Macaca fascicularis: one gene and its partner. The protein of the gene in region 1 interacts with the protein of each later gene in a pairwise test. Links are inferred from orthologs where the notes say so. Each region holds a gene or a part of one and is shown on either strand. Other genes may lie near its edges. The genes, in order: USH1C and USH1G.

The links.
Region 2: the proteins of USH1C (region 1) and USH1G interact in binary tests that used the Homo sapiens proteins (3 or more experiments, as listed by UniProt). The link is inferred for Macaca fascicularis from reciprocal best matches to the Homo sapiens genes USH1C and USH1G.

The regions. Positions count from the first base shown.
Region 1 is NC_088388.1:48,237,695-48,253,757, reverse strand, and holds the start of USH1C (harmonin), read right to left. Parts: upstream 14,685-16,063; 5' UTR 14,557-14,684; coding exon 14,521-14,556; intron 14,267-14,520; exon of another isoform or gene 14,118-14,266; intron 3,607-14,117; coding exon 3,539-3,606; intron 1,841-3,538; coding exon 1,697-1,840; intron 1,566-1,696; coding exon 1,427-1,565; intron 1-1,426. UniProt on the Homo sapiens protein: Anchoring/scaffolding protein that is a part of the functional network formed by USH1C, USH1G, CDH23 and MYO7A that mediates mechanotransduction in cochlear hair cells. Required for normal development and maintenance of cochlear hair cell bundles.
Region 2 is NC_088390.1:81,273,838-81,289,903, forward strand, and holds USH1G (pre-mRNA splicing regulator USH1G), read right to left. Parts: upstream 7,374-16,066; 5' UTR 7,192-7,373; coding exon 7,028-7,191; intron 4,790-7,027; coding exon 3,572-4,789; coding exon of another isoform or gene 3,568-3,571; intron 2,200-3,567; coding exon 2,196-2,199; 3' UTR 229-2,195; downstream 1-228. Other genes in the region: proton channel OTOP2, read left to right, coding at 8,764-9,076, 9,687-9,823, 11,340-11,398, 11,781-11,914, 14,238-14,240, 14,740-15,614. UniProt on the Homo sapiens protein: Plays a role in pre-mRNA splicing by regulating the release and transfer of U4/U6.U5 tri-small nuclear ribonucleoprotein (tri-snRNP) complexes from their assembly site in Cajal bodies to nuclear speckles, thereby contributing to the assembly of the pre-catalytic spliceosome on target pre-mRNAs.

The DNA of each region.
Region 1 (16,063 bases):
CACGATGATATAACGATCTGAGGGACAGCAGCACAAAGGAGAGATGAACCCGTCAGCTAGAGAAAGGGCCGATAATTCATAAGCCTGAGAAAGATCCAGGAAGGTAAAACTCTAGGTCTCATTAAAATACCCCAACGCCCCCAGTCATCGAGGCAGCATTGAGAACTGCTTGTCCTAGGAGAGCTCGCCCTGGAAAAAAGGCGGCCTCAGCTGACGCCAAGAGAGGAGCTCATTATGTGTTTTCTCTGGCTGGGTTTCTGAGCTGGAAAATGTGCCGCAGAGGAAAGAAATAATGAAGGGGCTGAAATTTCAGACACCACCAGCGAGCCGTGAGACAGGGATTTAGAACAAAGCAGTGTCTGTCAGCTCCCTGTTTCCACCCCCTACGCCCCAGTGTCTTGTACCATTAGCCTTTGAGCCCCTTGAAGCCCCAGCTTGGCAGCCCGGATTGGGGTGTTGATAACAAACCCGCTGGAAGCTCTTGGTGACAGTGGGAGGGCCTCCTTTATCTCAACACACAAAAACACGGCCCTGGGCTCAGGTAGGAGTGAGACCTGGAGGTCTGCCCATCTCTGCTCAGGCCCTGAGGTGTGGGGACCCCAAAGGAGAGGCACCTGGGTTGCTGAAGAGAGATTTCTGGGCTTGGCCGTCAGGAGACCCAGTTTCTAATCCTGGCTTTGCCACTTACTGGTCTCTCAGCCTCTATCGGTAATTCTGTAACATGGGAAAGATCCATTCAATGCATATAGCAAGGACTGCTTGTGAGAATGTGACCTGGCACATTCCAGGCATTTCTTAAATCTCCCTCTGTCTGTTCACTTACCAGACTCACAGCATTTGTGTGCCAGGCCCTGCTATAAGCACTTTCTACTATTAATTCATTTACTCATACAACCTGACGAAGTAGACAGTACTATCAGCAACTCATTTTATAGATGAGGAAATTGAGGTACAGGGTTAAGTCATTCCACCAAGTCACACAGCCTAATGAAGAGAAAAGCCAGAATTGAACCCGGCTAGCCCTGCTTCAGAGTCTGTGCTCTTTGGCATCACACTGCACCAGGCTTTCTTTCCCCCTGCTGGTAAAAGGCAACATGTCCAAAACTTCATGTGCCGGTGTCACCATGTTCCTCTCTTGGGGAATAGGGGAGGTGGGGGGAAGTGCAGCGGCAGCAGTTGGAAGGAGGCAGCAGCTGCAAGGAGGCAGCAGCCAGGTTTCCAGCTTCACTCAAGAAAACAGGCAATTGCCTGCGGCCTGATTTCTATGAGTCTAAGAACACCCGTCAGGATGCGCCAGCGTCTTCCTCACCCAAAGGCTCGGAAAAGTGGGTGACCACATTGTGCCACACAGCCTAGTGGATGAGTGAGGGGGAGGCAGGAGGTCTGAGGCCCTCGCTTCCCCTCCCTCTGGACTCTGCTTGCTCACCTGGAGCCCGACACTGTCTGCCTGACCGCCTTTGATGAGGTGGGAGATGAAGAGCCCACAGCCAAACTCCAGGCCACCACGCACGCTCAAGCCGAGGCCTTCGGGGTGCAGACGGTCCAGACGCACCTCCTTCAGCTTCCTGCCACACAGGAGAGGTCGGTGATGGTGCAGCCTGGCTGCCAGCACTGCCCCGCCCACTAGCAAGGAACTCTGTCCATCCCAGGGTGACCTCTCCACCCCCTGCCTCCAGCCTGGTGGCTTCCACTGCACCTGGAGCGCCGGGGGGTCAGCTGATCATATTCCACCTGGTGCTTCAGTGGGATCAGGGGCCGAATGGCATCAAACAGAGGCAGGCGGCTGGGTTCATTGATGACCAGCTTCAGGTCTCCCACGAGCACGGCCACGTCCATGGTCCTGTGGAGATGCCGGGAATGCCTGGAGCCTCACCCCTGGCCATGACCTCAGGGACCCAGGGATTCCAAGAGGAAGCCATTTCAGCCACTGGGCCCAGGCTTAGGAATGGAGGAGACCACTCCTGAAAAGCCCAGAGCCCTTCACACTGGGCCAGTGCCTGAGAAGGCTTTGTTCTCTCATAAAAATGCCCCCAGGAAACCAGCCCGCTAGGGATTGTTGACCCATTTTGCAGATGAAATGAAGCCAGGATTTCAAACTATCTCTGATGTTGGGATCTTTCCAGAGGGGAAAGCTCTATGTGAGATGCTAAGGACCCCTCACATACTCATCATCTCCACTTGTATCTACTGCTAAGCTCTATCAGTTTCACCTCACCACAGTTCACGTGCCTCCTCCCTCACGCTGTTCAGACCTTCGACTCCAGCTGCCTGCCCACATACTCACTGTCATTTCATCTTTTCTCAGTGTAAGGCACTCCCTGGCTTAAAACCCTTTGATGGCTCCTTACTGCCCAGAGGACAAAGTCCACTCTTTTCAGCACGCTCAGGGCCCTCCATGACCTGTCCCGTGGAGCTTCTCCAGCCTTGTGGCTATTTACGATCTCTGTGTCCTCCCAAGTCCTACTCCCCCAGGTTACTTATCCCCATTCACACCCTTGCTTTCATGCCTCCACACTTCGGCTAATGCTGATCCCTCATTCTGGAATGCCCTTCTCTGATATTCCACCTACCCAAATCTTTTTCTTTTATTATTTTTTTGAGACAGGGTCTTGCTGTCTTGCCCAGGCTGGAGTGCAGTGATGCGATCATGGCTCACTGCAGCCTTGACCTCCTGGGTTCAGGTGATCTTCCCACCTCAGCCTCCTAAGTAGCTGGGACTACAGGCACGCACCACCATACCCAGCTAATTTTTTGTATTTTTTTGTAGAGATGGGATTTTACCATGTTGCCCAGGCTGGTCTCTAATTCCTGGGCTCAAGTAATCCTCCTGCCTCAGCTTCCCAAAGTTCTGGGATTACAAGCATGAGCCACCGTGCCTGGCCCCAAATCTTTCTTATCCTTCAAAGCCTTGCTCAAGCCTTCCTGGTCCTTTCTCTTCCCTCTCAGTTGGAAAGGAAAACTCCTTTCTTCACATTTCTGCTTTTACCTCTACTTAGCAGTTATTTGATATAACTTACATTAGAGTTCTTTGCATTTGTAGTGTATATTCATCTCCCCTCACCAGACCACAAGTTACTCAAGGAAAGAAAGAGGATCTAATTCATTTCCAGATTTTGCATAGTGCCCAGCAGTGGCAGGAGCTTATAAAGTATACAAAATGAATCAAAAAGCAAGTGGGTGATCAGAGACATCTGATGCAAGGGCTGTGACCAGTTGGCATTTCTTGTTCTGTTCCAACAATCACTCTCTATTGAATCTATCTGGCTACTAGACAGCCTACTCCATCAGACTGTAAGCAACCTGAGAACAGAGACCAATCTGTCTTGCTCACAAGTATACCCCAGCCCCTAGTACAAAGCCAAGTACAAAGTACTTGTATAAATAGTTGCTGAAATGAGTGAATGCTATGTCCATTTGATTTCCAGGAGCAGTCAGCATCCACCCTCTGAGCTCCTCTGTCTCAGAACAACCCATCCCAGGACTCCCTGAAGACAGAGGAACCCGAGTGGTCCACAGGAGCTGGACCCAGCACACTTACTGGTGGTACATTCGCAGCACATCATAGAGATAGTCCTTCTCTGCATCATTTTCAATCAGAAAATCCACCTGAAAAATCCAACAGGAGAATCACAGTTCCAGGCTCAGCACCCTCCATAGCAGACCCCAGGGAGGAGAGGTCACCCCCAGCGGCCTCCCCAGCATCTTTTCAGGGCTGGAGTTGTGAGGAGAGGAGAGAAGCCACAGGCCAGACTGCCCCTCTGACCCCAATGCATCAGACCTATGCAGACCACCCCAACGTGGCCACAGGAGTACTGCTGCCCCTCCAGATGTGGCCAGGCACCCCTCGTCCCCAGGTGGGGCAATATGTGCACACACGGGGATGCACACACATATGTACATATGTGAATCCCCATGTGACACGACACGCTGCCATGGCAATGCTGCTGCTCACCCCCATGGCTGTGTCATCCGTGGCCAGAAGAAGCCCACTGTCTTACCTGATGGTGGCTGTAGTGCCGGATAAATGCTTTCAGGAAGGATTTGGGCCACTCGCTCAGATAGCACATGCCACCCGCCAGAAGCCCCTTACCACCGAATTCTTCTGTAACATCAATGCCAGGAGACCTTCACTCTGTCTTGTCCTGACCTTAGTTGGGTTGCCCTGAGTTCTGTCCACTAGTCAGTTTCCTGGCCACTCCTTCCCCCTTCCCAGGCCCCTGCACAAGCCCTGCAGGGGGAGTCAGGTTACATCATTTCAACTTTGTTGACGTCAATGGCTGGGACTCTAAGGTCAGGTTCAGGAGTTGTGTCATTAGTACTTCCATCCCAGTAGGAGGCCCTGAATTCCACTCCCTGAGTTACCTCAGTGTGAATCTCTACCCTGTATCTTTGGGTCTCTCTTCAGCCCCAGAATGGGTAACAGAGCAAGATGGAAGCTTGAGGGGTCACTGGGTCCCTCTCTCCTCCAGCCTCCGGGCCCAGGGCCTCAGCCCTTCATAGAGAGGCTGCTGCTGGAAGTTGCATGCTCTCCACTGACTGGTCCTCAGAAGAGGGCCAGAGCAGCTTTACCTCTTTCTGTGGGTATCCCAAGGGTTCTGGAAGACCAGGGCAGTCTGTCTGTCCCACCACAGAGGGGACATGCTGGGCCTAGCCCTTGGGATTTCTGGCCTGAACAGGCGCTACAGAATGCAAATTTCTGGCCTGGATCTGGCAGTACTTCCTTCCCTATAAAATCAGGCTGAGCATTTCATTAAAGGTGAGAATAACTTAGGAGGCTTGACTCACAGCTTGGGTTTCAGTTGCTACAGAAGTTCAGCCCACCTGCTCCAAAAGGGCACCCTTGCTTTCTCCCTACCTCAGTGCAAGGAGTTCCCAGCTAGGGCTAGGCGCGGTGGCTCACGCCTATAATCCCAGCACTTTGGAAGGCCGAAGTGGGTGGATCACCTGAGGTCAAGAGTTTGAGACCAGCCTGGCTAACATGGTGAAACCCTGTCTCTATTAAAATACAAAAATTAGCTGGGCGTGGTGGTGTGCCCCTGTAATCCCAGCTACTTGGGAGGCCAAGGCAGGAGAATCACTTGAACTCGGGAGGCAGAGATTGCAGTGAGCCAAGATAGTGCCACTGCACTCCAGCCTGGGTGACAGAGCGAAACTCTGTCTCAAAAAAAAAAAAAAAAAAAAAAAAAAATGGAGCTACCAGCTAGATGACAGGAGATGGAAGCATCTGCTTGAGTGGGTGGTACTAAATCTTAGGGTGGGAGGCTGGCCTCTTGCATGCACCACCTCTGAAAGCCCATCTCTCTACATAGCATGGATTCTCTCACCCACTCTGCTTAGGCCTGTGGGGTGGGGGTGGCTCCCTGAGACAGGCCTGGGCTGCCCACACTGGGCTGTGAAGGAGGAGTCTGAACACTCCTAGCAGCAGGGGCCAGAAATATCTTTATAAATTAAATCATGTCGCTTGCTTGTTCAATAGTTTCTTGTACCCCAAACCAAACCTAAATCCAAACTCCTTACCTTGACTTATCAAAGCCAAATCTCCTTTCCTACCAGTATTCCTGGCTACAAAGGCCTCCTTTCAGTTCTTTCCACAAGCCGAACGCTCTCCAGCCTCAGGGTCTTGGCGTGTGCTGTTCCCTCTGCCTGGATTGCTTCCCCCACTTCCCTGCCTGGCTGCCTCCTTTCCAGAGAGGTCTTCCCTGCTCACCTACCTGGACAGAACCCACTCCTGCACCCTGGAGATGTTTCAATTCCGTCAAAGATCGATGACGATTTGTAATTTAAGGTTTATTTTCTCTGTGAATTGTTTCCTCTGTCTCCTTTGCTGGACAGAAAAATCCCATGAGGAGAAAGATGAGGTCTATTTTGTTATAAATTCCTCGTGCCTACCACATAGTAAGCACTCAATAAAGAAGTATTGAATGAATTTCTCTGCCTGCCTCCTGGTGTGCTCACATGGTTCAGGTGGGAGGGAGGTAACCATGGGAACAGCAGAAGAAGGGAAACGATGTTGCCCCCATAACCCCCATGCGGTGGCACCAGGAACTTTTCATGGGCTTTATTCCATTTGTTTATCACATTGGGGCCAATATTCTCACATCATGTTGCAGTTGAGGGAACTGAGGATCAGAGACGTTAAGTCAACTCACCCAGTGTCCCACAGCTAATAAGCAGAGCCGGGATGGGAACCCAAGTCTGACTCCAAAGCCCATGTTCTTTCTGCTATGCCACGACCATTGATTGTGACTCAGGCCTGGTAGGGGAAAATAACTCCCAAGGTCCCTTTAGGCCAACATTTCACACCCTTTGCTTTCAAGAACTCCTTTCCTATCTCTAAGCCCCATCTCTCTCCTCTGCACTGTTAAGAAAATACCTTTGGGTTGGTCTATAATGAGTGAGAAAATGAGGCATCTTTTGAAGGACTCTTTGAACCCAAGTGTTCTACTTTCTAAGGGGAGCATAAAAATCCCATCTGCTTTGGCTGGAGTGAGGACACCTTGACCAAAGACTTCTAGCGCAATTCTAACCCCGGGTAGTGACACAAGAAAGAAGATGGGAGAGGGAATCTCTTACTGACTGAGGCCTTAGGACTGAAGTTCTCTCTTATCCCTCTGCAGAAATGTATCCTACTGTAGCATTAGATTTCAGTAGTGAGGAACTGTCCTCCTTAGACCATGTTTATTGTGCATTAGGTGGAAAATTGAGGTAGAAGAGTAAGGTAACTTGCAATGTTAGGGTCTAGGGTTCTGTTTTTCTCCCTTCCCTGGGGCAAGTACAGATCATTTGGAGACGGTCTTGGTGGAAAGGAGCCTGTGTCTGCAGGTCCCAGGCTCCTGGCCCTTGTCAGCAGCCCTCCAGCACTGACCACTGCTCCCAGAGGTCTCATCCTACCTGTCTCCCGAGACAGCTGCAGAGCTCAGCTCTTCAGCCTCATGTCTACCCACTGTCACTGGTTAGGTCAGTCAAACCCTGTCCTCAGTTCTGCCCTTGCTCACTTCTCCAGGGTCACCTCCACCACATCCCAAGTGGGACTCAGCTGCAGTGGAACAGATCCTTCCCCTGATACACTGAAATCTCCTTGTCCTCACTCAGAACATTCCATCTACCACCATGTCTGACTTGTCCATTTGAACAATTCTCTATAGACCATAATAGCTAACAGGGAAAATAGATCTGGTTTATGCAGAATACTCTTTACATATGAATCTAAGTGATAAATCATCAAAAACTTGAAAACTAGTTACACAGGAGATCCTGCAAAGGGAGGGATCATTCTCCACCCAGAAATATTTTAGAGAGACTCAGAGAGAACAGCACTGCTTTGTTCTCTGACCACACCTGAATGAAAACACACACTCGCACCTCACTCTTCAGGCAAAAGGCACCAAGAAAGAAAACTGAGAAAGATGGAAGTTTCTCTAAAGCCTGAACGTGCAGTAACAATACCACCATTACTTAAATTCCTTTTTCTTTGTAATCTTCCCTGTGGTCCAAATCAAATTACTTTTCCAATATTAAAAAATTATATAGTGTCCTCTCTTCTGGAATGCTGCCAGCACCAACCCGGGGGTCAGCTTTGGGGAGCCCCTGCTCTAGGGTGCTTTGTACCATTCTCCCAGTACCCTGCGCTCAGGTACATACAAAGCGCCAGGCACGCAGTAGGTCAGTCTCCCACACTCCTTTCTCCCTTCCTTCCAAACATGTTCTTCATTTCCCTGTGGAACCCAGAACCATGTCATGCACACAGGCGCACGGTGCCCAGTGGCGTCTGTTGATGAAATGTGAACTCTATTTGCTCTAGTCTAGAGCCTTTTTTCTGACCTGTTGGCCCAGGCCTGGGTCACCACCTTTCCATTGGTCCTCAGCACATATATTCTGGGTCTGCCTCCCCTTAGTTCACTTCCAATTCATCACAAAAATGTATGTCCCAGCGATTCCATCTATCCACAATGGATGGCTTCCCTCCTCTCATGTGAACCCTGCCTTCATTTCAGATGAGGCCCAAGTCCCCTCTTCTAGAGTCCAGAGCTTCCTCACCTGCCTCCCAGCCTAAGGCTCTTCCTGTCTGGCTCACTTATCCCAGCCAGCCTCTCCCTACTGACTGTCCACTGCCTGAGGAACTTTACGTGTATTATCTTTAATCTCCTAACAACCCTCTGAGGTGAACATTATCATCCCCATTTTACAGATGAGGAAATAGAGGCTCAGAGAAGTGACAGAACTGAGACTCCAACCTACGCCTGCTGGCTCCAAAACCTCTGCTGTTTTTCAAACTACCACATGGTATCCATTTACCAAATATAACTCCTTTGTTTTGCACTTGTCCATTACACATTTATTGAACACCTACTATGGGAAAGACACCAGTCTTCTTTCTCCGACTAGATTTAGAAAGCCTTTCCTTTTCTCGGATCTCTCTTGATATTGAGCACAGAAGCCCTAAAGGAGCTCACCGTCTACAAATAGCTGTTGGGGATCTCTATTATCATCCCTGCTCCCCTGACCCCCGCCGCAGGCCCTGCCTAGATGAGCGTTCGAAGACTGATGTTCCTCTGGCACTGTGCTATCGGTCTGTATGGGAGGAGGGGACAGGGAGCTTCTCCACCCTCACAATCTTCAGGCCGCTTGTCTAGGATATTGGAGGCAAAAGCTCGGTTTGGCCATGTGGTGCCCTCCAGTCTCATCCCCCAGTATTCCCCCATATGGACTGACGCTTCAGGATAGCTGCAGAGGGGAACCATGGGACATTTAACTCAGGCAAATTCAACTTTAGGTATGCACCCAGCCAAACAGGGAGAAAGAGAGTCAGAACAAATTAAATAATGCATGTTGTTCCACTTGATGAAGTCTCCTTGGGCTGTAGTGGGGATTAAATGAGTGAGTAAATGTAAAGTATGTATAACAATGCCTGGGACATTTCAAGGTCTCCAAAATGTGTGCTAGATCTTTTCCTTTCATGCCTCCAGCCATCTCTATCTTGCCCTTTGTCCAGGGGGCTCTGTCTGGGCTCCCCTCCCCTCTGGTTTCCTGCTTTGTTCAGCCATCAGGAGGTACAAGCAGGAGATGAAAGGAATGGGGAGACAGGAACTGAGGCTCTTAGTCCCTGGGGGCTGGCTGCTGGGCCACAGTTAGGCAGGTTCCTCCGCCCAAGGCTGCAGCTCCTGTCTGGGCCTCTCTGGCAGTCCTGGTTCTCACCTGTTCTGGTAACCTTCCCTCTCCTGGCCCCTTCAGGGGTGCTGGCCTCCTGGATCTGGCCCCAGGGTGCAGCCTGTTGGGTCATTTAATCCTGCCCTTTTCTGCAGAAACTCTTCATAAAGATTTCTTGGCTTCCCCCTTGGACGAGCCACCTGCTCCCTGCTGCCACCCTGGTTAACCATTAACAGTGGTGGTACTAGCAGTATTTCTTTTCTGTGGACTCCTCCTCTACCTTTAAGATTCACTTCAAATGTCACCTCTTCTTGGTCAAGTCTTTCTTTAGGCTCCCCCACAAAGCTGGCCACATCTTTCTCTGTGCACACAAACAACTCTTTGTCCCCATGGGACTCTCTAAGCTGTGCTGAACTTTCTCCTTTTACCCCCCTGTCTCCCCACAAGCCTGTGTGTGGCCCAGACGCAGGCCTGGGTTGTGAGTGTGGTGGTGGAGCCAAAGAACCCCTTCCCCAACTGGGTCTGCACCGCTCTGTGCCTTAGTTTCCTTATCTGTAAAATGGGTACAAACATCTCTTTTTAAAATGGGATTTAATCACTAAGAGAGACTAATAATTGTTTTTTAGTATTAATTTAATGAGTTAATAATTATGAAGAGTTTAGAACAGTGCCTGGCAAGTAGTAAGTCCTGTGTTTGTTACATAAAACTAAGTGAGAATAAGTGGATATAAATTCCATATCCACAGCAGTGGGTAGCTAGTGGCCCTCTGTAGATGTTAGTGGGATGAATAGATCCAGCCACACTTCTTCCCAGGCCTTCAGAGTGTGCATCCCAGTGGTACCAGGCTTTATTTAACTCTTGTTTTCTTATTATCCATCTTCTCTTCTCTTCTCTTCTCTTCTCTTCTCTTCTCTTCTCTTCTCTTTCTTTCTCTCTCTTTTCTTTTTCTTTCTTTCTTTCTTTTTCTTTTTTTTTGAGACCAGGTCTCACTCTGTCATCCAAGCTGGAGTGCAGTGGTGTGACCACAGCTCACTGCAATCTCAGCCTCTAGACTCAATTGATTCTCCTGCTTCAGCCCCTCAAGTAGCTGGGACTACAGGTGCACAACACCACACTTAGTCAATTTTTGTATTTTTTGTAGAGATGGGGTATGGCTATGTTACCCAGGCTGGTCTCAGACTCCTGGGTTCAAGTAATCCTCCCACCTCAGCCTCCCAAAATGCTGGGATTATAGGTGTGAGCCACTGCACCTGACTTCTTTTCTTTTTCTGGAACCACTTTATTGAGGTATGCCTGACATGTAAAATGCCGTATATATTTAGTGTATACAACCTGATGAGTTTGGGGATAGACGTGCACGTGTGAAAGCATCACCACCATCAAGGCCATAAACGGTGCCCTTCATCTTTTCAGAGGCTCTTGACCTGTCAGCTAGTTTGTAGTATTTTGCCCAGTGCCTGGCACAGCAATCATGCCCTGCTTCTTCTTGTTCTCCCTCACTTGCTGCTCCTTCTCCTCCAAAAGTTGTGGTGCCCCAGGCTCTGTCCTGGGTCTCCTCTCCATCTGCACCATCTCTCTAAGTGAACTCATCCGTCTCAGGGGTTTAAATACCACTTACACCCCCAAGGACCTACTGATGTTTATCTCCAGGCCAGACCTACAGCCTTCTCAGTCACCTCTAGTAGGTGTCTCAAACTTACAGCATTCAAAGTGGAATGTTAGGTTTCCACCACCTCCTGCTCTGTCTCCACCAACCTGCTGCTTCTCCCCCAAATGTGAATTCACCCTTGATGCCTCTCTTTCTACACTCACAGCCAGTCCATCAGCAAAAACATGTATCCTGAATCTGACCCATTCTCACCCGAGTCTGACCCCCTGCCTCTGGCCTGGGGTCCTGCAGGAGCCTCCTGACTGAGGTCCCCCTTCTACTCTTGGGCCCCTCAGTGGATTCTCTACAGGGCAGCCAGAAAATTCCTTTTAAATGTAAATCATTCACACTATAAGAAAATCCCAACCTAACCATGGCCTATCAGGCCCCTATCACCCCTCTGACCCATTTCTCACCATTATCTACAAATGATTCCTCTGGGACACGCTGTCCTACTTGCTGTTCCATACAGGCAGGCATCTGCTGGCCTCAGCGCCTTCGCACTTGCTGCTTCCACTTTGGGGAACGCTCTTCTACATGTATCCCCGTGGCTCCTCTCCTCACTTATTCCAGGTCTCTGCTCAGACGTCACCTCTTCAGAGAGGCCTTCCTGACTGCCCACCTTGTTACTTATTATCTCTCTCCCCATCTTAGTTTATTTCTTCATATAATTTATCACTACCTGGCATTACACGATACTTTTGTCGATTTCCTTTTAACTGTCTGTCCTCCCCACTAGAATGTACTGTCTAAGAGAGCAAGGGCATTATTTTGTTTTTCAGTGCTTAGAGTACTGCCTGGCATATATTGAGAACTCAGTCAATATTTATTGCCTATGTGAATGAATGAATGATTAGCAAATTCCTAGAGAGTGGTGGCTGTTTCTGATCTTCTTATTCATCCCACCAGGTCGTCCAATGCCTGGCCTCAGGCAGAGTACACAGCTATGCTCATAAATGTGTGACTGCTGAAGAGGCAATAAATACTTTTAAGCAAATGAGTAACCAAGTTCCTGCCATGTGCTGGTGCTGCGAACAGAGGAGCAGTCTCCTTTTGAAAGCTGCTTCTCTGAGGGAGAAAACAGTCTCTGACCAAGCCCTGCTCCCCCAAATCCTGGCCCAAGGTTGCTACTAGTTATTGGAAGGGCATGCAAGTGCTCCTGGCAACCTTGGGGTAACTTCACAAATCAAAAGGAGTTGATGCCTGGAGTCTGTTGGCTCACACTGGACACTCTGCAGGTATCAGTTGGAAAAAGTGTGGTTACTGTGGGCCCAGAGCAGCCAGTACTTTAATTGCTAGTCAGTCTTGTCTGTCTTGTGAGGTAAGTACCACAAACTCCATCTCACAGCTGAAGAAACTAAAACTCAGGGAGAGTGGGTGGCTTGGCCAAGGTCTTCCTGACAGTAACAGGGCTAAGATATGGTCCCAGTTCTGCTAACTCCAGATAATAAATAACAGTGGACATTTATTGAGGGCTCCCTAAGTGCTAGGGTCTGTTTAAGCTCCCCACACACATGTAGATCTCATTCAACATTCATGATAACCTTATTAGTTAAATATTGTTATCTCTTTTCACAAATAAGAGCACTGAGGCACAGAGAGATTAATTGAGTTGCTCAAGGTCACACAGCATTTTCCATTATAACACACTACCTTAAATATTACCTCCAACAACCAAGGATTTAGATCATAAACCATTTCCTCCAAAACACTAAGGAAGGTACCCCTACAAAGCAAACAACAGCAAGTTGTAAATTTCTCCCAGCATATCTGAGTGCCTCCTCTCTATCCCCTGCTGCTTCATCCTCTCTCCCAGTTCCTGGATGATCCCCAGCCTGGGAGGGGAAGGCTGTGGCTGTCTCCAAGGCAGCAAGGCACAAAGTCCAGCCTGGGCCTTGCCTAGCACATGGCGCCTGCCCTGCCAGCACACAGGGATATTAATAAGTAATGACTCTTGTGATGAGGAAGAGTAGGGCAGAGGAAACATGGAGGTCGGAGGCCCTTTGAAGCCTGTGGGACCTGGGGAAGAGGAACAGGGCAAACCCAGGGTCTGCATCAGACACCAGGGACCCAGGAGACGATTCTTGCAAAAGAGACAGAGTAGGTACCCCACAGAGTGAAGGCAGAAGACCTGACATTATTTCAGGCCAGGGGCAGGAAAGTGAAATTCAACCCTGAGTCTTGGGTTGGGGGACGGAAGGTTGAGCTCCTTCAAACTGGGTTGCCTGAAATCTACACTCACAAAATGTCCTTAGCGGCTGAAATTTCTTCCGACATGTCTCTTTGCAACAGGATGTACCGGTGAATGCTGTCTCAAGCTCCCCTTGGCATTCGCCAGCCCCTAAATTCCTACTGAACTTCCAGCTATCGCCCACCCGTGGGAGCAGGACCAGGGATGCCCAAGACCATGTTTTCAGGAGCCTTCTGCCAGTTTGAGCTGTCCCTTTGTGCCCCTACAAAAGCTTGGCCCCAACAGGCAGCACCCAGACATGGGTAATTACCAGAGTAGAGTCTGCTTCCCACCTACACCACCAGCAATTTGAGGGCACAGACTGGGTATCGCTGGGAGGATGCTCAAAACATGATTATTAAATGAATAATTGACCCTGGGCCCTTGGCCCCAAGCCCCTGCGGCCCCTACTCTGGCTGGCTCCTTGGGCTCCTATGGGCCTCTCTATGGGAAGGAAGGGGTTAAGGACCCTGACCTTCCCTACCTGAGCTCAGTCCTCAGACCAGGAAGAGGTTTGGCTTGGTCTAAAGACACTGCCCCCCTGGGGTCTTTGGGAGAGCCTTGGGTCACACAGTTGTTAATAGTTACCTGCCCCTCAGGCAGGGCCTGTGGGGAGATCCAGATTCCACCCCCACTCCCCCAACCCTCCGTGGCTTCATCCCCAGACTCAGAGGCATCCTAAGGCCTGGTGAAGAGGTCGGCTGGATATCTTTGATGACCCTCTCTGGTCTCAGGGCCTCAGCAGATTCTGCATAGCTTTGTGAATTGTTCTGGAAATGCCCTGTGTAAAATCCAGCCGCTTCCAGTGATGGTCCTTTCGGATCCCAGACCACCAGTGAGGCCCCTCACTGGGACACGCCAGGGTGGACCCGGCTCTGCCTGAAGGATCTGGCTGGCCAGAGCCCAGCTCCCACGCCCTCAATACCTCCTCCCTTCCTCCCCACCGCACCCGGGTCAGCACCAGCTCCTCAGCTACTTCTCAGGCCCTAAGAAACGCCCTTAGGCAGGCAGGGCTGAAATGCTTCTAACTCATGTTCTGAGGTCAAAAGGCAGAGAGAGAGACGTCTAGTTTCCCTTCTCCCAACACTCACCTCTCAGATACTGCCCCAGACTCTCTCCACAAGCCTCATCAACCCTGAGCTGGGGGCACTAGGAAGGAGAGGGACTTGCCCACAAAGGGGGCACCTCAGAGAAGCGGCCAAGACTGGAAGGAATTCAAACCCCCGAGACGTCCCCGCCCCTGGAAGGCAGAGGGAGAAAGCTTGGCAGAAGATCGATCTGTTTAGCAGTACCTGAGCCCGGAGTCCCCGTGTTCCCTCCCTCACTTTACTGGGGATCCCTGCTGCCAGTCAAACGACCTTCGGGTGTCCCAGCCCACCCAGAGCCATCAGGTGGGGCCGGAAAAGGGAGGGGCAGTGCCGGGGTGTCCACCCCTTACCCACCGCGCCCAGGACTCCGGAGTCCCAGAAGCCTGGGGCGCCCCACAGCTCTGACCTTATGCCGGAATTCTCGGGCCACTTTTCGGTCCATGGCTGGGCCAGGTCCAGCTGTGTCGTTGAACGACCGGTTCCTTCGGGTGCCCGGCTGCCAGGAGCTGGAAGGAACCGCGACCGCGACCCGGCCAGCCGCCCTCCGAGCTGGGGACGCGGCCTGAGCGCGGAGGGGCGGGGCCGGGCCGCTGTGGGGCGGGGCCGCTGCGAGGCTAGAGTTGCAGGTGCTCAATCGTCGCCTCCCCCTGAGGCCTGGGAGCAAATGGACCCAGTGTGCCTATGGGCCTGTGGTGGCAGTAGCTGGGCTTCAAGCTGGTATTTCTCTTGACGTGGTACCTGATCACATGCGTTTGAGGAAGAAGATCGTGGAGATGTAGGGAGGAGGTTTGGGAATTTTTGTGATGACTGGAATAGAGAGATCCGGAAACTATTCACACGGGTGGGCAGGGGGCGGGGCAATCTAGTCCATCTTCTCTGGATACTCCGGAGGGCTCATGGCCCTCCTGGACTGTCAGCCCTTGCTACGCCTTCACCTTCAACGTACCTTCTGTCCTAGCTTCCTCCTGCACTTTTCCACCAGGGAGAAATCAATCCTTGCTCTGTGAATTCCTTGGGGGCAGGGCCGGGTTTTACTGTGGGCCGCAGGGGTCTGAACCAGTGGGTATGGGAATGGCCCTCTCAAGTGATTTCCCCTCCCACCTTCCCTAACACCTCCACTCCCAACAAAACAAGACAAAACAAAACCCAAACCCAACACGCTCCCATATCCATCGAAGCCTGGCGGAGCCTGGCAGTGACATTTTGATCTATGGCTGACCTTCACCCAGGGCCCAGACCCTCTGGTTCATTTAATTCAATTTGGTCAACATTTGCTTAACTCCTAGGTCTGGTGCTGGGTGCAAAGACAAGGATGAACCAGGCCTGGAAAGGAATGAAAGGAAAGAGGGGCTAGGAGAGGGGTGATAAAAACGTGTAAATCAGGGGCTGTTAAGTATGGGGCTTGTGCCTGAACTTAACCCAGGGAGGCACCTGCGCCCTTTGCACCCTGTCAAGCGCAGGGGCAGGGAGATGGACAGCAGCTTACATCAGGTAACCACTTAAGATTGTAACTTTGGGGCACCTAAACACCCCTCTGCATCCCTTTCCCCAATAGCTGAAGTTTTACAAGCACACTATTTTTGTTTGGGCTAAATTATTGCCTAGTTTAAGATGTAAATCCCTCTTGAAGAAGAGCCTTAAAATATGATGTTTTCTCACCTTAGTATTAACTATTAAGTCAGTGATAAAAGGGAAAGACTTGTGGGATTTTTGAATGGTCCAGAAAAGGCCACACAAAATGCATTGCCCTCTGACTTACTTCATTGATTCTCTACATTGAAAAAGAATGTCATATGGCTGTTTATTTTGTATTTAGAATCCTGGCAGAGGTGAGTGAATGTTCTTACCCAGGAGAATGCTGTTCACCTGCCACCCCAATCCTTATTTTACATTGGTCATCACCCCCACAGACTCCCTCCACCTTAAAATGCCCCCTGCTTTGTTTTGAG
Region 2 (16,066 bases), on another chromosome or scaffold:
CCCTAGTTCTCAGCCCTGCCTCTCCACCAGCTCCTCATTCTGGACTGAGCTAGGAGAGCAGGGTAAAGGCCTAGGGATCTCTTCAAAGATGCATAGCATGGGGGCTCGAAGACACTCCAGAGAACAGGGCCCAGGACCCAGTCCTCACAAGCACAGAGAAGACCCCTCCCGCCCCACCCCCACCCCCCACTCTTCATACCCAAAGCATTAAAGGACAAGACACAGGCATGACACTGGTGGAGAACATTCTCTACAAAAGTGGTAATGAGCCTGCAGGAGGGATTCGGGCTACAGTGGTGGGCACACAGAGCCTGCTCCACCCCAGCACTGGCTAGAATCAGGAGGGGCTGCGGCAGTAAATGGACAAGGAATGGGAGAGAAGGGGCAGCACCTGGGGCTCTGGGAAAAACAAGTCGGCACTTGGGGGTGGCCCCAGGCTCAGGCCCAGAGAACAGGGAGAAGCACTGCGGTGGGCTCCAGATAGCAGTGGCAGGCAGCCAAGCCCTCAGTGTCCTGCAATAGGACAGGGACCATCTCCTCCATGCCCCCACTCTGGGCATGTATATGGGAATGGGAACCCCCGGACAGACCAAAAAGAGGCCTTTGAGGGCTCTCTTTCCCCTACCCCAGCCAAGGGGGCCCCGGGAGGAGCTGGGGACTGTGGCCATGCTCCCAGCAGGAGCTGCTTCCCAAGCTGAGGTCAGGGATGGGGGGCCATGGCTGAGGAAGGAGGAGAGCACCTCTGCATGGGGTGCGAAGCGGCACACACATGTCAGCGGGCTCCTGAGGGACTCTCCCATATCTGTGACCTCGGTCTGGCTGGAGAGCTCTGGGGGCACATGTCTGAGGACACATGCTCTGACCACCCTCTGAGCTGGCCTTTCCCCTGGTCTCACCATCACAGGGCTGGGACACAGGCGAGCTCTCCCTTAGCCCCGATCCAGCAGCCCAGCCCCTCTTTGGTAAAGAGGGAAACTTACCAAACAACACCCAAGGTGAGCGCGCACACACGCACGCATGCACACACACACGCATAAACACACACACATGTGCACGCATGCACACACATGCATAAACACACACAAACGCGCACACATGCACACACATGCATAAACACAAACACGTGCGCACACATGCACGCACACACACATGCATGTGCGTGCACACGTACGCAAGAACACACACACAAGCACACACACACCACACACGTACACACACATGCACGCACACACATGCATACACGCACACACACAGCCCTGGTGACCTGGGGATAATCTGCAGTTTAGATTATCCACTTTCTCCAGTGTCCATATCGCAGGACTTACCCAACCCAGGCCCAACACCCAGCCACACCCTGTTCTGCCTGTCCCAGGCCTGGGAGACTGAGGAGGTTGGCAGACACCTTTCTCTGGCCCAGCGCATGCCTGCCAGGCCTGGGGGCTATAACACTGCAGCCTGTTGGTCTAGCACCTTGCATCTAGTGCCCTGGCCCTCTGGGGTCCCTGGCGGGGCCAGGCTGCACAATGAAAAAGCGGGAGGCTGGAGGAAGACAGGCCAGGCTCCATCCCTGGATGAGCTGGGAAGGGCGTCAGTACCCCCAGCCTGGCTCTCCAGTTCCGGGCCTTGGCCACTGGCTGAAGGAGGGGATGCTGGCTGTGCTTGGAATGGGTGCAGACTGAAAGTTGGGGCATTTGGCTGAAGAGTCTGGCTGAGGAACTTCCCCTCTGGGGTGGACTGGAAGAGGGGAGGCAGCCCAAACTCTTCCCTTCACAAAAATGCAGGAAGTGAGCAAGTCTCCGGCCTGAGCACAAGAGAACAAGACCATCAGGGGAGGGGCCCGGGACAGGCACGCCCTCCGGCATTCACCTCCCACACTCCCATCCAGTTCCATGCCCCTGCCCTCCCTCTGGGGTAAGCCTCCCCCAAGTCTACATGTCCTTTAGGGCTGCTCAGAATGGGTGGCTCAGGGCCTTTGTGACCCCTCAGAACTGGAGGGGACATTCTCTTGCCCCTCTGGTGCCTCCAGGCTACACCCTCTGCTTCAAGGTGTGGACAGCCTTTCAAAGGAGTCGACCCACGTGGTCCTTGCTCCTGGGGAAGGGGGCTGCAGGACTGGCGACTGTGAGGACCTTGAGGCCCCACCACAGGTTGTGGCAACTTGCAATTCATTTTGGTCTGGGGAGAGGAGCCCCCCGTTATCTGTGGAGGAAGAGACAGAAAGAAACAGATTTCACGTGAGGTCCTTTAGAGGCATCCTTTTCACCCAGGACAGCCATCTGGACAACTTAGCCTTCCCATCTCTCAGCAGGTTGATGGTCAGGGATGGAGGATGCCAGCCTACGGGTGACCTCCCCATCCCCAAAACTCTAAACCAGCCTGCCTCCCCACACCCTCCCTGCCCCAGCCACTCAGGATAAAGGCCATAGATACCTAAGAGGAAATGAGGACAGCATTTGTTGGGCTTGTGGGATGCTGCAGGGGAGGGGCCAGGGCAGGGGCTGGCCACAGCATGACCATTGTGGCAGCGGCCTTGGCCAACTATGACGGGCTTTGGAACATGAACTCTGCCTCCAGAGCATTTGGGAGCGTTTGCCCACGTTCCTGGTTGCAGAGTTCAGGAATAGCAGGTAAAACATCTGCCTAAAGCCGGGCGCGGTGGCTCACGCCTGTAATCCCAGCACTTTGGGAGGCCGAAGTGGACAGATCACCTGAGGTCAGAAGTTCGAGATAAGCCTGGCCAACATGGCAAAACCACATCTCTACTAAAAATACAAAAATTAGCTGGGCATGGTAGTGCACCCCTGTAATCCCAGCTACTCAGGAGGCTGAGGCAGGAGAATTTCGTGAACCCGGGAGGTGGAGGTTGCAGTGAACTGAGATTGTGCCACTGCACTCCAGCCTGGGCAACAAGAGGGAAACTGTCTTAAAAAAAAAAAAAAAAATCTGCCTGAGGTCTTGGGCAACTGAGAGGCCCTGCTGACTGCAAGCCCTGCATCCCATGGGAGCCACCTTGACCCCAGGCTCTAAAGCCATGCAGACCAGGGATCAAGCCCAGCTCCATGTTGAGCAGCAGCAGGACCTTGAGGTGAGCTATTCTAACTGTCTGAGCCTCCACTTGCTCATCCGCTATAAAATGGGAACGATATAATCCACCAATACAGTCCGGGCACACGGGCTTTTAGAGGGATTAAGCAAGAGAACTTGTTCAAGGGCACAACCCAGCACCTGGGAGGTGGGAGGGCTCAAAAACACCCCAACTGTGATTCCCGTGACTGTTGAAACTCGGTGACACTAAGACGACCATTTCCCCACATGTTGATGTCCCCAAAATCGAGGTGCACTTTACACTAGCTGTGATAAGAATGCCTTGGGTCATCATTAAATTGGCAACTTCTTTTTCTGAGCTGGTGGTAAATAAAATAAGGGGGCCTTTTATCATCGATGGCCCCATTTCGATTTTATGAAATACAGTAGCCCCCACCCCCTACTCCTGAATAGGCAGATCTGTACTCCCTCCCCAGGGGCCTTCCAACTCCTGTTCCTCCATCCCCCTGCCAGGCTGGACACTCACAGCTCTGTGTCCTCCAGGGCCGGCGGGCGCTCCATCGCCTGCCGCCGCCTCCTCACGGCCCCCAAGATCTTCTTTCGGGGCCCCAGGGGGACGCTGATGCTGCGGAGGTCGAGGTCAGAACATAGCATCAGAGCCTCGAGGTCAATCTTCTCCTGCCGCAGGAGGGCGGCAAAGTCCTCCATGTGCAGAGAGGCCAGAAAGGTCTCCAGCGGGCCGGTCTCGGGCTCCAGGTCCTCGTCCAAGCCTAAGTCCAGCTCGTCCCAGGGCAGCTCCTCCCCACAGCTGCGGTCCTGCAGGCTGTTGGCACTGCCCAGGCTGTCATCGTCCAGGCTAGGGGAGCTCTGCAGCCGACCCCGAGGCGCTCCCATCCCGTCCAGCCCCCCATCCTCGCGGCCCAGTCCGTGCAGCCCACTGCTCAAGTAATTTCTGCGGAACACCATGGTGCCCAGGCCGGGGCGGGTAAAGAGGGAGTCGTGGCCTGAGTCGGTGCTGACCTCCGAGTGGGCAGGCTCGGCTGCCAGCGTGGCACGGGAGACGCTGTCCTCGTCCGAGAGGAACATGTCCCGGAGCGGGGCTCGGCCCCACTCCTTGGGATTGGCGTAGGTGCCCTGGCGCACGAACATCACGTCGTTGCCCAGCTGCAGGCCCGAGAGCGAGCGGGCGCTCTTGCGCCCATCCTCGGAGACTTTGAAAGTGCCTTCGCCGCCCTGCTTGCGCCGCTCCAGCTTCTTCTGCATCTTGGTCTTGCCCCTGGCCGTGCCGTGCAGCGTGGCCTGCGAGTACGGCAGGTGGCTGCCCAGCGCCAGGTGCTGCAGCCGGCGGCTCAGGGTGCTGGACGTGAGGCTGGAGAAACTGAGGGTGTCGGAGCGCTCGGCCAGCTCGCGCCGGTAGCGCCGCTCCATGCGTTCGTGGTGCTTGCGCTGCAGCTTGGCGCACTCGCGGATGCGCCGCTCCGCCTCGCGGAAGGCCTTGTCCTTCAGCTTACCCACTAGCTTGGGGTTGAGGCTGCTCTGCTTGGCCGCGATGGAGTCCAGGTAGCGCACGCATTCCATGTGGCCCTTCATGGCAGCCATGTCCAGCGGCGTGTGGTAGTCGTTGTCTAGGCACCAGATGTTGGCCCCGAAGGACACCAGGAAGGACAGGCAGTGCAAGTGGCCATTGGAAGCTGCCAGATGCAGGGGTGTGTTGCCCCAGATGTCACACTTGTCCGGGTCACCCCTGCAGGGAAAGCATCCAGGAGGGACTAGTGACGAGTCCTGGCTGGGGATGGAGGTGGAGGGAGTGGAGGGGGGAAGGGAGCTCCCCCACTGTCACAGCAACCCCCAAAGGGACCGTGGGCCTGAGACCTCTTCGACTCCAGGAGACCTGCAGGCCTGAGCCACCCAACAGGTGAGCCCAGGGGTGAGCCCAGGGGAAAATGGCCCCAGGTGTGCAGGGGGTGGGGTGTCAGAGAAGGCGGGACCGGGGCGGGACCTTCCCCAAGCTAACTGAGGACTGGGAATCTCAGGGGATAAATATTTGATGCCCTGAGAGAAGGGAGTAAATTATTCATGAGGCCCAGCACAGAGCTGGCCAGAGCACTGGGGGGCCAGGGCCGCGTCTGGGTCTCTAGGCAGGCATGGTGGTGAGTGTGGCTGCGTGTGCCGAGTGACCGTAAAAGAGAACAGACCAGAGGGTGATGTGTACCAGGCCCTAGCCCCGGGTTAGCATGTGTGAGGTGTGGGCTTGTGTGTCAGCAGGCAGGGCCCTGTCTGCAGGGAGCAGGGCCAGCCCTGGCAAGCCCCAGTGTGAGAGGAAGTGTCGGGCCTTGGCCTGGGCCAGGAGGGGAGTGCAGGGGCAGCCAGGACTGGAGGGGAGGAGGAGGGAAATCAGCTGCCTGCGCTCCGAAGCCCTCCCTTCCCCAGGCTGCCCCCTCTTTGTTATCCCTTCAAGGCTGTCTCACTTGAGCCTGTCCAGGACCCCTGACAGCCCCCACAAGCACCCCTCACACCAGACTGTGTCCCTCAGGGCAAGCTCCCAAGACTCCTCCGGAGCTCTCCCTCCCCTGGGGGCCCAGCACAGCACCCCTGCCCTGCACTAATGAGGCCACGAGGCCAACCCCCAGGGCTGGGGGAAGAATCACTCCCTTGTCTCAACAGCTCCTCACACACTCCCTCCTGGGCCTCCCCTCCTGGCCACCAAGTCCTACAGGCCAGTGTGGGAAGGGCCTGCCAGCACCCGACCCACACCCCATCAAACACCAATCCTGGTCTCTGGAGGAGTTGGGGCTTGGCATACCCAAGGGGAGACCTCTTCCCCTTCTCCCTTCCTCCCATGAGCCTCTCTGAAGGGATGGCAGGGGACAGTGTCACTGTGTGCTCTCCTGGGATGAGGAGGGGCCAGTCAGCCTTGGCCTCCCGGGACATGGCTCAGCTGCCCAGGCTTCGAGGCTGCTCCCACCTGATGCTGGGCCCAAGGAGCAGCCCAAGGAGGGGGCAAGAGGGAGGGGTCTCCAGCACCCACTACATGATCAGGCCATAGGCCAGTGCCTGGGCCCCAGCCCTCTCTCCCATGACCTGAGACTTCATATCAACCCTCCTGGGGTGTCCTGTCCACCCCTCATCCTGTCCAGGCCGCCCTGGTGTTCAGACCAACCTGACTCCTCTTTATAAAGCCATTGGGGCTGAGGGAGTTGGTCACAGTCATTTGACTTTAGCCCCAAGGAACCCATGTCAGTGGCTCTAGTCCTGGAGGTGGCTTAACTGCCACCTCCAGGCCCCTTCCCTGGCGCTGACACCTGCACTCTATGCCCACCCCTCGCCCTAGGACAACTCCAAAGGGAGGGGGAGGGGAGAGAGGCCCCTTCAGGGTGGCCACATCACAGTCTCCCCATTGCTTAGCTATGCCCGGCTGTGGGGGAGGGACTTGGAGAGAGTTAATGGGGTGGCTGAATCAGTGACATTTGGCGCTCTGGACAGTGTCCATAAATCCCGGGGCAAGCGCTGTGTGACACCAGCCTGCCAGGGAAGGTGGGTGCTGGCTGGGAAAGCCCTTTGGATCCAAGGCTGCGGAGTGGGCAGTGAAGACCCCACCCTTTCTAGCCCCACTGCTGGCCCCTCCAGACTTCCCAGCCTTCTCTCCGAGTCTCATTAAGCCCCTCACTCTTACTTTCAGGGGGACCCCAGCCAGGGGATCTCTCCCACCTTCCCCTCACTCTGCAGCAACCCCCCATAATCAGGAACCCCCAAATCCCGGTTTCTCCCCCTCCTAGCCCCAGATCGAGGTCACAAGTGTTACAAGTGTCAGATGCCTCTGCTTGGGTCCCCCTCCACGTGTGTCTCTCCCACAAACGCCAGGGTCTAAGGGTCCACCTGTCTGCAGGGGAAGGAGGCAGCTCAGAGGAGGGGTGGAGGATGGATCCCAGGGAGTCTGGGGTGGTCTCAGGGGTCTCAAGGGCGCTGGGTGGGGAGTACTCACCCGCGGCTCACAATGAGGCGCAGCGACTCCAGGTGGCCGTGGTAGGCAGCCCAGAGAGTTGGGGTCATGCCATCCTCATCGGGGGCATTCAGCTCCTTCCGGGTGGCCTCCTTGAGGAGCTCCAGGTAGCCATCCCGGGCTGCCCGGTGGTACTGGTCGTTCATGGCGCCCGAAGTGGACGGAGTGGGCGGGGGACACGGAGAAAGGCCCCCCGCAGGGGAGGGCGGCGGGGTTAGGGCTGAGGCATGAGGTTGGGGGAGGGGGCCGGGCAGGGGCCGGGACCGCCAGCCCCCGCTGCCGCAGACGGAGGGTGCGGAGCGCCAGAGCCGCGACTACCGGGACATCTGAGCCGCTCACCCGGCGGCGGAGGGGGGTTGCGGGGGGAGCCGAAATCTCCCTCTGTCCAGGGAGCCGCCCCCGGTCTTCCCCTGGGTCCTAAACACCCTGCATGCACCTCAACGCACGAGGGTGACCCACGCAAGGCCCTGCCCTCCTCTTCAAAAGTGCCCATCCCGGGGCCCCGCCCTGTAACGCCCAGTCCGGGGACAGTCAGGGGTCTGTCCTCACTAGAGCCTGGGGCGCTGTGGCTTCCTATTTCTCCACCTGTCAGTGGAACGAGCCGAGAGCTGGGGAGGGGTGCCGGAGGGCGGGGTGGGTGAGCCGTCCTGAGCCCCAGGACAGTGGACCTAAGAAGGGGCACCAGCACCGACCGCAGTATGGTCAGCGAGTGGGACAGGCCAGGCCGCCGCCGCCCGCACGGAGTCCCTCGACCGCGCTCCAGCAGAGGGCGCTAGAGGACTAGCAGCGGCTCCGTGCGCCGCGTGGAACTTCGCACCCAAGCCCTGCACTTCGCAGCATCCAGCAGAGCGCGGGCCGGCGGGGGCGCGGGCAGGGCGGTGGGATAAAGGAAAAAAGAGCTTGGATCACTGCGAGGACTGCGGGGGAGAGGGGGGCTGGGGTTCCCACCCCGAGCAGGAGCAGAGGAGCACAGGATTCAGGGTGCGTCGCGGCTGGAGGGCGTCAGGGTGCCCGCGGGCTTTTGGGACGTCTCTTGAGCTTAGCTCTCGGGGCTCTGGGCGCCTGGAATGCTGCACGCCAGGGCGCGGTGGGCACCGGGGGCGGGGTGCCCTCTGGGTGCCTCAGTGCGGGGCCGCGCCCGAGCCTGGCCGCACCGGGGTGACGGAGTGGGGTCGCCTCTCAAAGGGTAAATATGAATCTTGCCTTATCTGGCTCCTGCGGGCTCTTCCCTAAATTCACCTTGGAGAAAGATGGATCATGTGAGCGGGACTGAGAGCTTTATGGAGCCGAACTCCCGCAGCTGTAAATCACCCTGTCCGCCTGGGTATAAAGCGCCTGTCCATCCCGGCGTGGGAGAGAGGAGACGTTCACCGTCCCCTGACCCCCAGCTCAGCGCCGGCTCCAGGCCCAGCCAGGTGGGTGCCCCGGGCCAAAGGGCAGTCGGACTTGGGGAGTGGGGACCTTGGAGGGGTCCAACCGGGTGCTGCCGCTTCTCCTTTCTTTCTTCCTGTCCAGCGAGAGGGGCAGGTTCCGTGTTTTCTCTTCCCCTTTCCCAGCGCTTCCTCCAGCACCTGAAGCCCCCACCCTGCGGGTCAGGAACTCCCTAGTCCCCAAATCTAGGGATGAGATGGGGGAAAGAGAGCTGTCGGGGTTGACCTGGAGTTTTATCCGCTCCTCCCCGACAGTAATCCCTCTAGTCTTCTCCAGTCGCCCCCGCCATGTCCGAGGAGCTGGCCCCGGGCCCCAAGGAGAGCCCCCCGGCGCCGCGGGCGGGCCCCAGGGAGGTGTGGAAGAAGGGCGGCCGCCTGCTGTCCGTGCTGCTGGCCGCGAACGTGCTGCTCCTCGCCTGCACGCTCATCAGCGGCGGAGCCTTCAACAAGGTGGCCGTGTACGACACCGACGTGTTCGCGCTGCTCACTACGATGATGCTGCTGGCAATGCTCTGGATCCTCTTCTACCTCCTCCGAACCGTGCGCTGCCCCTGCGCGGTACCCTACCGGGACGCGCACGCTGGCCCCATCTGGCTCCGAGGTGCCAGGGGAGGTGGGGGCGAGGTGGGGTGGGCACAACAGGGAGCTGCAGGCTAGGGCTCTCACAGGAGTTGCAGAGCCCAGGGTGACATATAAGGGTGAGAGTTTGCCTAGAGAGGACCAGGAGGACCGGAGGGTGAGGTGGGCTGCAGTTAAGGATAAAGAGGAAGGGAAGGGGTCCTGGGGAAGGGATAAATAGAGGGATGGGGTGGGACCTCTTTGTCCCCTGGTCTGAAGATTGGAGAAGGCTGGCTAAGGGAGGGCCTTTGATGGAGAGCAGGAACCAGAAGACAGCAGTCACTGAAAGAGCCCAGCCAGGGCCCTTTGCGGTATCCACACAGCCCCAAAGAGACGGGGGCTTGGTAGCAGGTCCATCCATCCACCCACTCAGTCATACACTCACCCTTCCATCCACCCATTCACCTTTCAGTCTGTCTATACACCTATCCACCTATCCTCCCACCCTCCCCACTGATCCATCCAACAGTGCGCTCACTCACTTGTCCACCCACCCATCTAGCTTCCCATCCTCAGGGCCTGTCCTCAGCTGGGCAGACCTTCTCTCCTGCCTCTCTGATCTACCACCACCACCCACTCGCCCTGGTTCTCAGGTGGACTGGTGCTGTTTGGTATCTGCACCCTCATCATGGATATCTTCAAGACCGGCTACTACTCCAGTTTCTTTGAGTGCCAGTCAGCCATAAAGATCCTGCACCCTGTCATCCAGGCTGTGTTTGTCATCATCCAGGTAAGTGTCGCTGTGTGGAAGAAAGGAGCTAACACTTGGCCATTGGAAAGGACCCAACAAGGGGTCGGAGACCTGAGCTCCACCCGCCTCGTATCCTGAGCTATTAAGTAAACTGGGGACAGGGCTGTAGAGAGCATCACAGGAGTCCATCAATGCGGAAACACCTCATAATGAAGTAATATCCCAACGTGAGCTCCCACTTGGAGCTCTGCAATGTTATTTCAACTTAAGCAGTGCCAGTAATTAACACCTAGGAGGTGTGAGCTGTGACAGCCAGCCCTGTCTCCTAGAACCTGGCCTGCCCTCCTTGGGTACCCGTAGGGGGCTTCTGTATCAGTCCAGGCTCCTGCCAGCTTGGTCCCTCTGTTCTGTATTTGTTTGGAAAGTAGGGTAGCCTGTAACTGGGATTTCTCAAACATTCATTTTGTGGTTGTTGTTGCATAAACAATACTTTGAAAGATCTTCTGATTGAGCTGAGACGGGACTGGGCTTAGATGGGATCAGAACAGCCCCCAGCCCTCTATCATGACCAAAATGGCGTCATGGATGATGTCCTCCCCAGAAACATCACCCCTGCTGCCCAGGTTTTCACAGTTCAGCACACGTGTGGTTGTGGCACTTATGTAGCTTTAGTCTTTCATATTTTATGGGTTTGAAGAATACTCAGATAAAATGAAAATATAGATATCCCCACATCACCAAATGCCATAGCAGGGATTCACAGGCAGCCAGACGGTAGCAAGGCCTGGTATGGCGACAGAGGAAGAGGATGAGCAGGGGATGTTGTCAAAAGAAGGTGAGAAGTCCACAGAGGCTCCTTCCACCCTGAGCAAGACCTAACCTGAGGCTGGCCTTGCTCCCAGAAAAAAAAAAAAAAAAACTAGGTAGTCAGAAATCTACTTGACCCCCACCTCCACACAAAATAAACCCCACCACGGGCAGGGTTTTACATGTGATGTTTTGCAAACCTTTAAAGAATGGAGAACCACTATTTTATACAAACTGTGTCAGAATAGAAAGAGACAGTGTTCCCCACCTCATTTTTTTTCTTTTTCCTTTTTTTTTTTTTTTTTTTTTTTTTTTTGAGATGGAGTCTCACTCTGTCGCCCAGGCTGGAGTGCAGTGGCACAATCTTGGCTCACTGCAAACTCCGCCTCCCGGGTTCAAGCGATTCTCCTGCCTCAGCCTCCCGAGTAGCTGGGATTACAGGTGCATACCACCACACCCAGATAATTTTTTTGGTTTTTTTAGTAGAGATGGGGTTTTACCATGTTGGCCAGGCTGGTCTCAAGCTCCTGACCTCCAATGATCCACCTGCCTCGGCCTCCCAAAGTGCTGGGATTACAGGTGTGAGCCACCATACCCAGCCCCCGCCTCATTTTGTGAAGCTAAAATGAACCTGATGACTCGGTGTAAGGTTCCTCAGGTGGAGAGAACAAGATGGCATGGGCATGGGTGCACTGGAGTTTTGTCCATCTGTGGAGTAAATGACTCTCACCAATGTCTCTCAATACAGACCTACTTCCTCTGGGTCTCCGCTAAAGACTGCGTTCACGTCCATCTGAATCTGACCCGGTGAGAGCTGCAGCTCCATGCCTGTGCCCAGTATGCTGGTGTTCACCTTGCAGGAGAGATTTGGGCTTTCCACCCCGGAGCAGGGCCTCTCTTTATGTCCCCTGGGTGGGGTTGCAGCCAAGGCCTCCCTGCTTTGTCAGGCTGACTTCCACTACTTTGTGGGGCCCTTTCTCCCAGGGGAGGGAGTGGTGGTGGCCCCCGGGGAAATCTCCTAGCCCTGTCTTGGGTGGCATACCAGCCAGGCTGTGTTCCTAGCAAAATCAGCTTCCCTGTTCACACAGGCCTGGCTGCTTTCTCATTTCTCAACACCAGCTTTCAGTATTGCTCCCCAACCTGCCAAAGGGTCACAGGCTTCTTTGTCCCTGCCCCCAACCCCAAACAGGTGTGGTCTCATGTTCACACTCACCACCAACCTGGCCATCTGGATGGCGGCTGTGGTGGATGAATCTGTGCACCAATCCCACTCCTACAGCAGTTCTCACAGCAACGCCAGCCACGCCCATCTCGCCTCTGACCGTGAGTTTCCCCTTAATGCTGGCCCTGTGGCTACCAGGCCTTGGGCTGGGTGCTTTATGAGTTTGTAACGTCAGTCTCCCATGAGGGCATGGAGGCAAAGGAGAGAGCCAAGGACCTCCTCCTGCTGCAGGATCTACCTCTGCAGGATAGGTGTAGGTGACCCCAGAAGGGAAGTATCGGGGCACCCTTTTATCCTTGAAGCTGCAGCCCAGGCCCCCCGTCCAGTCTCCATCCCACCAGGAAGGACCCAGGACCAGGAGCAGTGGTTCATGCTTGTATTCTCAGCACTTTGGGAAGCCAAGGCAGGTGAATTGCTTGAGCTCAGGAGTTCGAGACCAGCCTAGGCAAGATGATGAAACCCCATCTCTACAAAAAATTAGCTGGGTGTGGTGGTGCATGCCTGGGGTCCCAGCTACTGTGGGAGGCTGAGGTGGGAGGATAGCTTGAGCCTGGGAGGTCGAGACTGCAGTGAGCTGTGATTGCGCCACTGCACTCCAACCTCGGTGACAGAGTGAGACCCTGTTTCAAAAAAAAAAAAAAAAAGACAGAGAGAGACCAGACCCAGAATCCAGGAAGAAAGGGCAAGAGTGATCAAGCTGGGAAAGGCAGAAGGGAGGCAGAGCGGTTCTTTGGTGAAGCATGGATCAGATGGGAGAGCCCGGGGAGGAGGAGAAGGTGAAAAATAATCATGGCCCTGTGGCTACCAGGCCTTGGGCTGGGTGCTTTGTGAGTTAATGTTAATGGTGACAATTTACTGAGGTCTGTATGTCAGGCACTGTGCTGAGTGTTTTAAACACCGCATTTAACCATCAAGACTTCCCTGTGGGCCGGGCGTGGTGGCTCAAGCCTGTAATCCCAGCACTTTGGGAGGCCGAGACGGGCGGATCACGAGGTCAGGAGATCGAGACCATCCTGGCTAACACGGTGAAACCCCGTCTCTACTAAAAAATACAAAAAACTAGCCGGGCGTGGTGGCGGACGCCTGTAGTCCCAGCTACTTGGGAGACTGAGGCAGGAGAATGGCGTGAACCCGGGAGGCGGAGCTTGCAGTGAGCTGAGATCCGGCCATTGCACTCCAGCCTGGGCGGCAGAGCGAGACTCCGTCTCAAAAAAAAAAAAAAAAAAAAAAAAAGACTTCCCTGTGAAATGGGTACTCTCCCCATTCCCATGCATAGGTGCAGAAACTAGGGCAGAGAGAGCTTAAGTAACTCACCCAAGGTCTAGCACTAGCGTTCATATCCATCTTTGTTTTTAACCAATATGCTAAACTAGGGAGGAACGGGATCCAGTCTCCAGTCTTCATTCTCTGGACTTCTCTAGGGTCCCCCAATAGCCAGGACCAGACAAGATAACTAAGACATGCATGCTCCTAGCATGGGAAGGTCCAGCAACAAAAAGCATGGCCCCCACCCTCAGGGAGACCCCAGCCCAGCGAGCCTTACAAAGGACCACCCTGAACAAAGAGGACTCCTGAGGGTGCAAAACCAAACCAGGGAGATGATGGACTTCACGTGGGGGCCTGCAGACTGGAGAGAGAGGCCTGCCGGAGAAGTGCCTGTCCCAGGGTCAGAAGTCAGGCAGTTTGCATCCACTCTGCATTTACAAGTCACGTCACCACGTTGAGCTTCAGTTTCTTCATCTGCAAAACCAGCAGGGCTAGTTCTTAGGATGAAAAGAGACATTTGCCAAAGCCCAGAGTATCCTACAAATACATTCTGGAGTCAAGTCAAGACTCCCTTCCATGTGGTACAAACAAAAGTAATGGGAGGTCATGGTGGAGACTTGGGCACAGCAGCTGGCTTTCTGGGCTGATTCAGATGGTGGGGAGAGCCGTGAGGAAGCTTGAACTTTAGAGGTTCCCAAGAGCCACTTTCTCTCTCAGGGAGCCAGAGCAGGAAGGGATGGAAGGAATGGAGTGAGGTAAAGTGAGCAGCCCTGGGGTTCAGACTGTTTCTTTGTTTTGTTTTGTTTTGTTTTGTTTTGTTTTGTTTTTGAGACAGAGTCTTACTTTGTTGCCCAGGCTGGAGTGCAGTGGCGCGATCTCGGCTCACTGCAACCTCTGCCTCCTGGGTTCAAGCAATTCTCCTGCCTCAGCCTACCATATAGCTGGGACTACAGGTGCATGCCACCATGCCTAGCTAATTTTTGTATTTTTGGTAGAGACGGGATTTCACCATGTTGGTGAGGCTGGTCTCAAACCCCTGACCTCAGGTGATCCGCCCACCTTGGCCTCCCAAAGTGTTGGGATTACAGGTGTGAGCCACTGCACCTGGCCTAGACTGTTCTTACTGAGCACTGATGTATCCCAGTCTCTGGCACACAGTAGGTGCTCAAGAAATGTTTATGAAGTGAAGAAGTGTGCCATGCCCTGTGAAGGCATGAGGGATACCATGGTGAATATAGCAGGCGTGAAAGACAGGGACCCTGCCCTTAACAAAGGTCACAGGCTAGGTTGGGCGTGGTGGCTCACACCTGTAATCCCAGCATTTTGGGAGGCTGAGGCAAGTGGATCACTTGAGGTCAGGAGTTCGAGACCAGCCTGGCCAACATGGCAAAACCCTGTCTCTACTAAAAATACAAAAATTAGCAGGGCGTGGTGGCAGGCGCCTATAATCCCAGCTACTTGGGAGGCTGAGGCAGGAGAATGGCTTGAACCCGGGAGGCGGAGCTTGCAGTGAGCCAAGATCACATCATTGCACTCCAACCCGAGCAACAAGAGTGAAACTCCATCTCAAAACAAAACAAAAAGGGTCACAGGCTAGGGGTGAGACCTCTCTAGGAAGGTGGGAGGGCAGTCCAGCCCTGTGTCTCTCTCTCCACGACAGAGCGTGCGGGCAACCCAGTCGGAGGAGACTCCTGCCTCTGCAGCACGGCTGTCTGCCAGATCTTCCAGCAGGGGTACTTCTACCTCTATCCCTTCAACATCGAGTACAGCCTCTTCGCCTCCACCATGCTGTACGTCATGTGGAAGAATGTGGGCAGATTCCTGGCCTCCGCCCCTGGCCACAGCCACACCCCATCCCCTCTCAGCCTCTTCCGGGAGACCTTTTTTGCTGGCCCGGTTCTGGGCCTGCTGCTCTTTGTGGTAGGACTGGCTGTCTTCATCATCTATGAGGTTCAAGTGGGCGGGGGCGGGGGCCGCACCCGGCAGGCCCTGGTCATCTACTACAGCTTCAACATTGTCTGCTTGGGACTTACGACCTTGGTCAGCCTGAGTGGCTCCATCATCTACCGTTTTGACCGCCGGGCCATGGACCACCATAAGAACCCCACGCGCACCCTGGACGTGGCCCTGCTGATGGGTGCCGCCCTGGGTCAGTACGCCATCTCCTACTACTCCATTGTGGCCGTGGTGGCAGGCACACCCCAGGACCTGCTGGCAGGGCTCGACCTCACCCATGCGCTGCTCATGATTGCCCAGCACACCTTCCAGAACATATTTATCATCGAGAGCCTTCACCGAGGACCGCCCGGGGCTGAGCCTCACAGTACCCCCACCAAGGAACCTTGCCAAAACCTCACCTTCACCAACCTGGATGCCTTCCACACCTTGCCTGCCTGCCCACCCACCCCCAGGCTGGTTAGCCCCAGCCCCGCAGACCAGCGAGAAGCAGTGGCCATCATCTCAGCCCCCAGAAGCCAATGGAGACGCCGGTGCCTAAGAGACATTTCTCTGTTTCTCCTGCTCTGCAATGTCATCGTGAGTAGCTGGGGCAAGAAAGGGTGGGCTTGGGAGATGAGGCTGAGGAAGGATGCTCTTGCAGGCTTAAGCCCTTAGCCTCCTCTGTCTTGCCCCCAGCCCGCCTGAGAATCTTACAGCTCTCTAGGAAAGGAGCAGGTTCAGAGGAGGCCAGCTATAGCTTTGGGGCAAATGGCATCTCAGGGCACACAGAGGAAATGAAATCCTAACATTCTGGCATCTAGGCAGCAGGTGGAGCTGGAGGGGTCACAGGGAAGGTTGACACAGGGGCTGGGCAGAGGTGAGAGGGAGCTGAGAGCTGATGTGGAAGGCGGGGTCCTCACCCCCCAGTGGGAGGTGTGACTGCTCCTGGGAACTTGTGACCTGCCTGCTTCTCAGAATAATTGGAGCAGCCTCAGGAAGTAGCGGAGACCAGTGTAAGTGTGAGCGGTCTGTTAGCAGAGTGAAGTGGG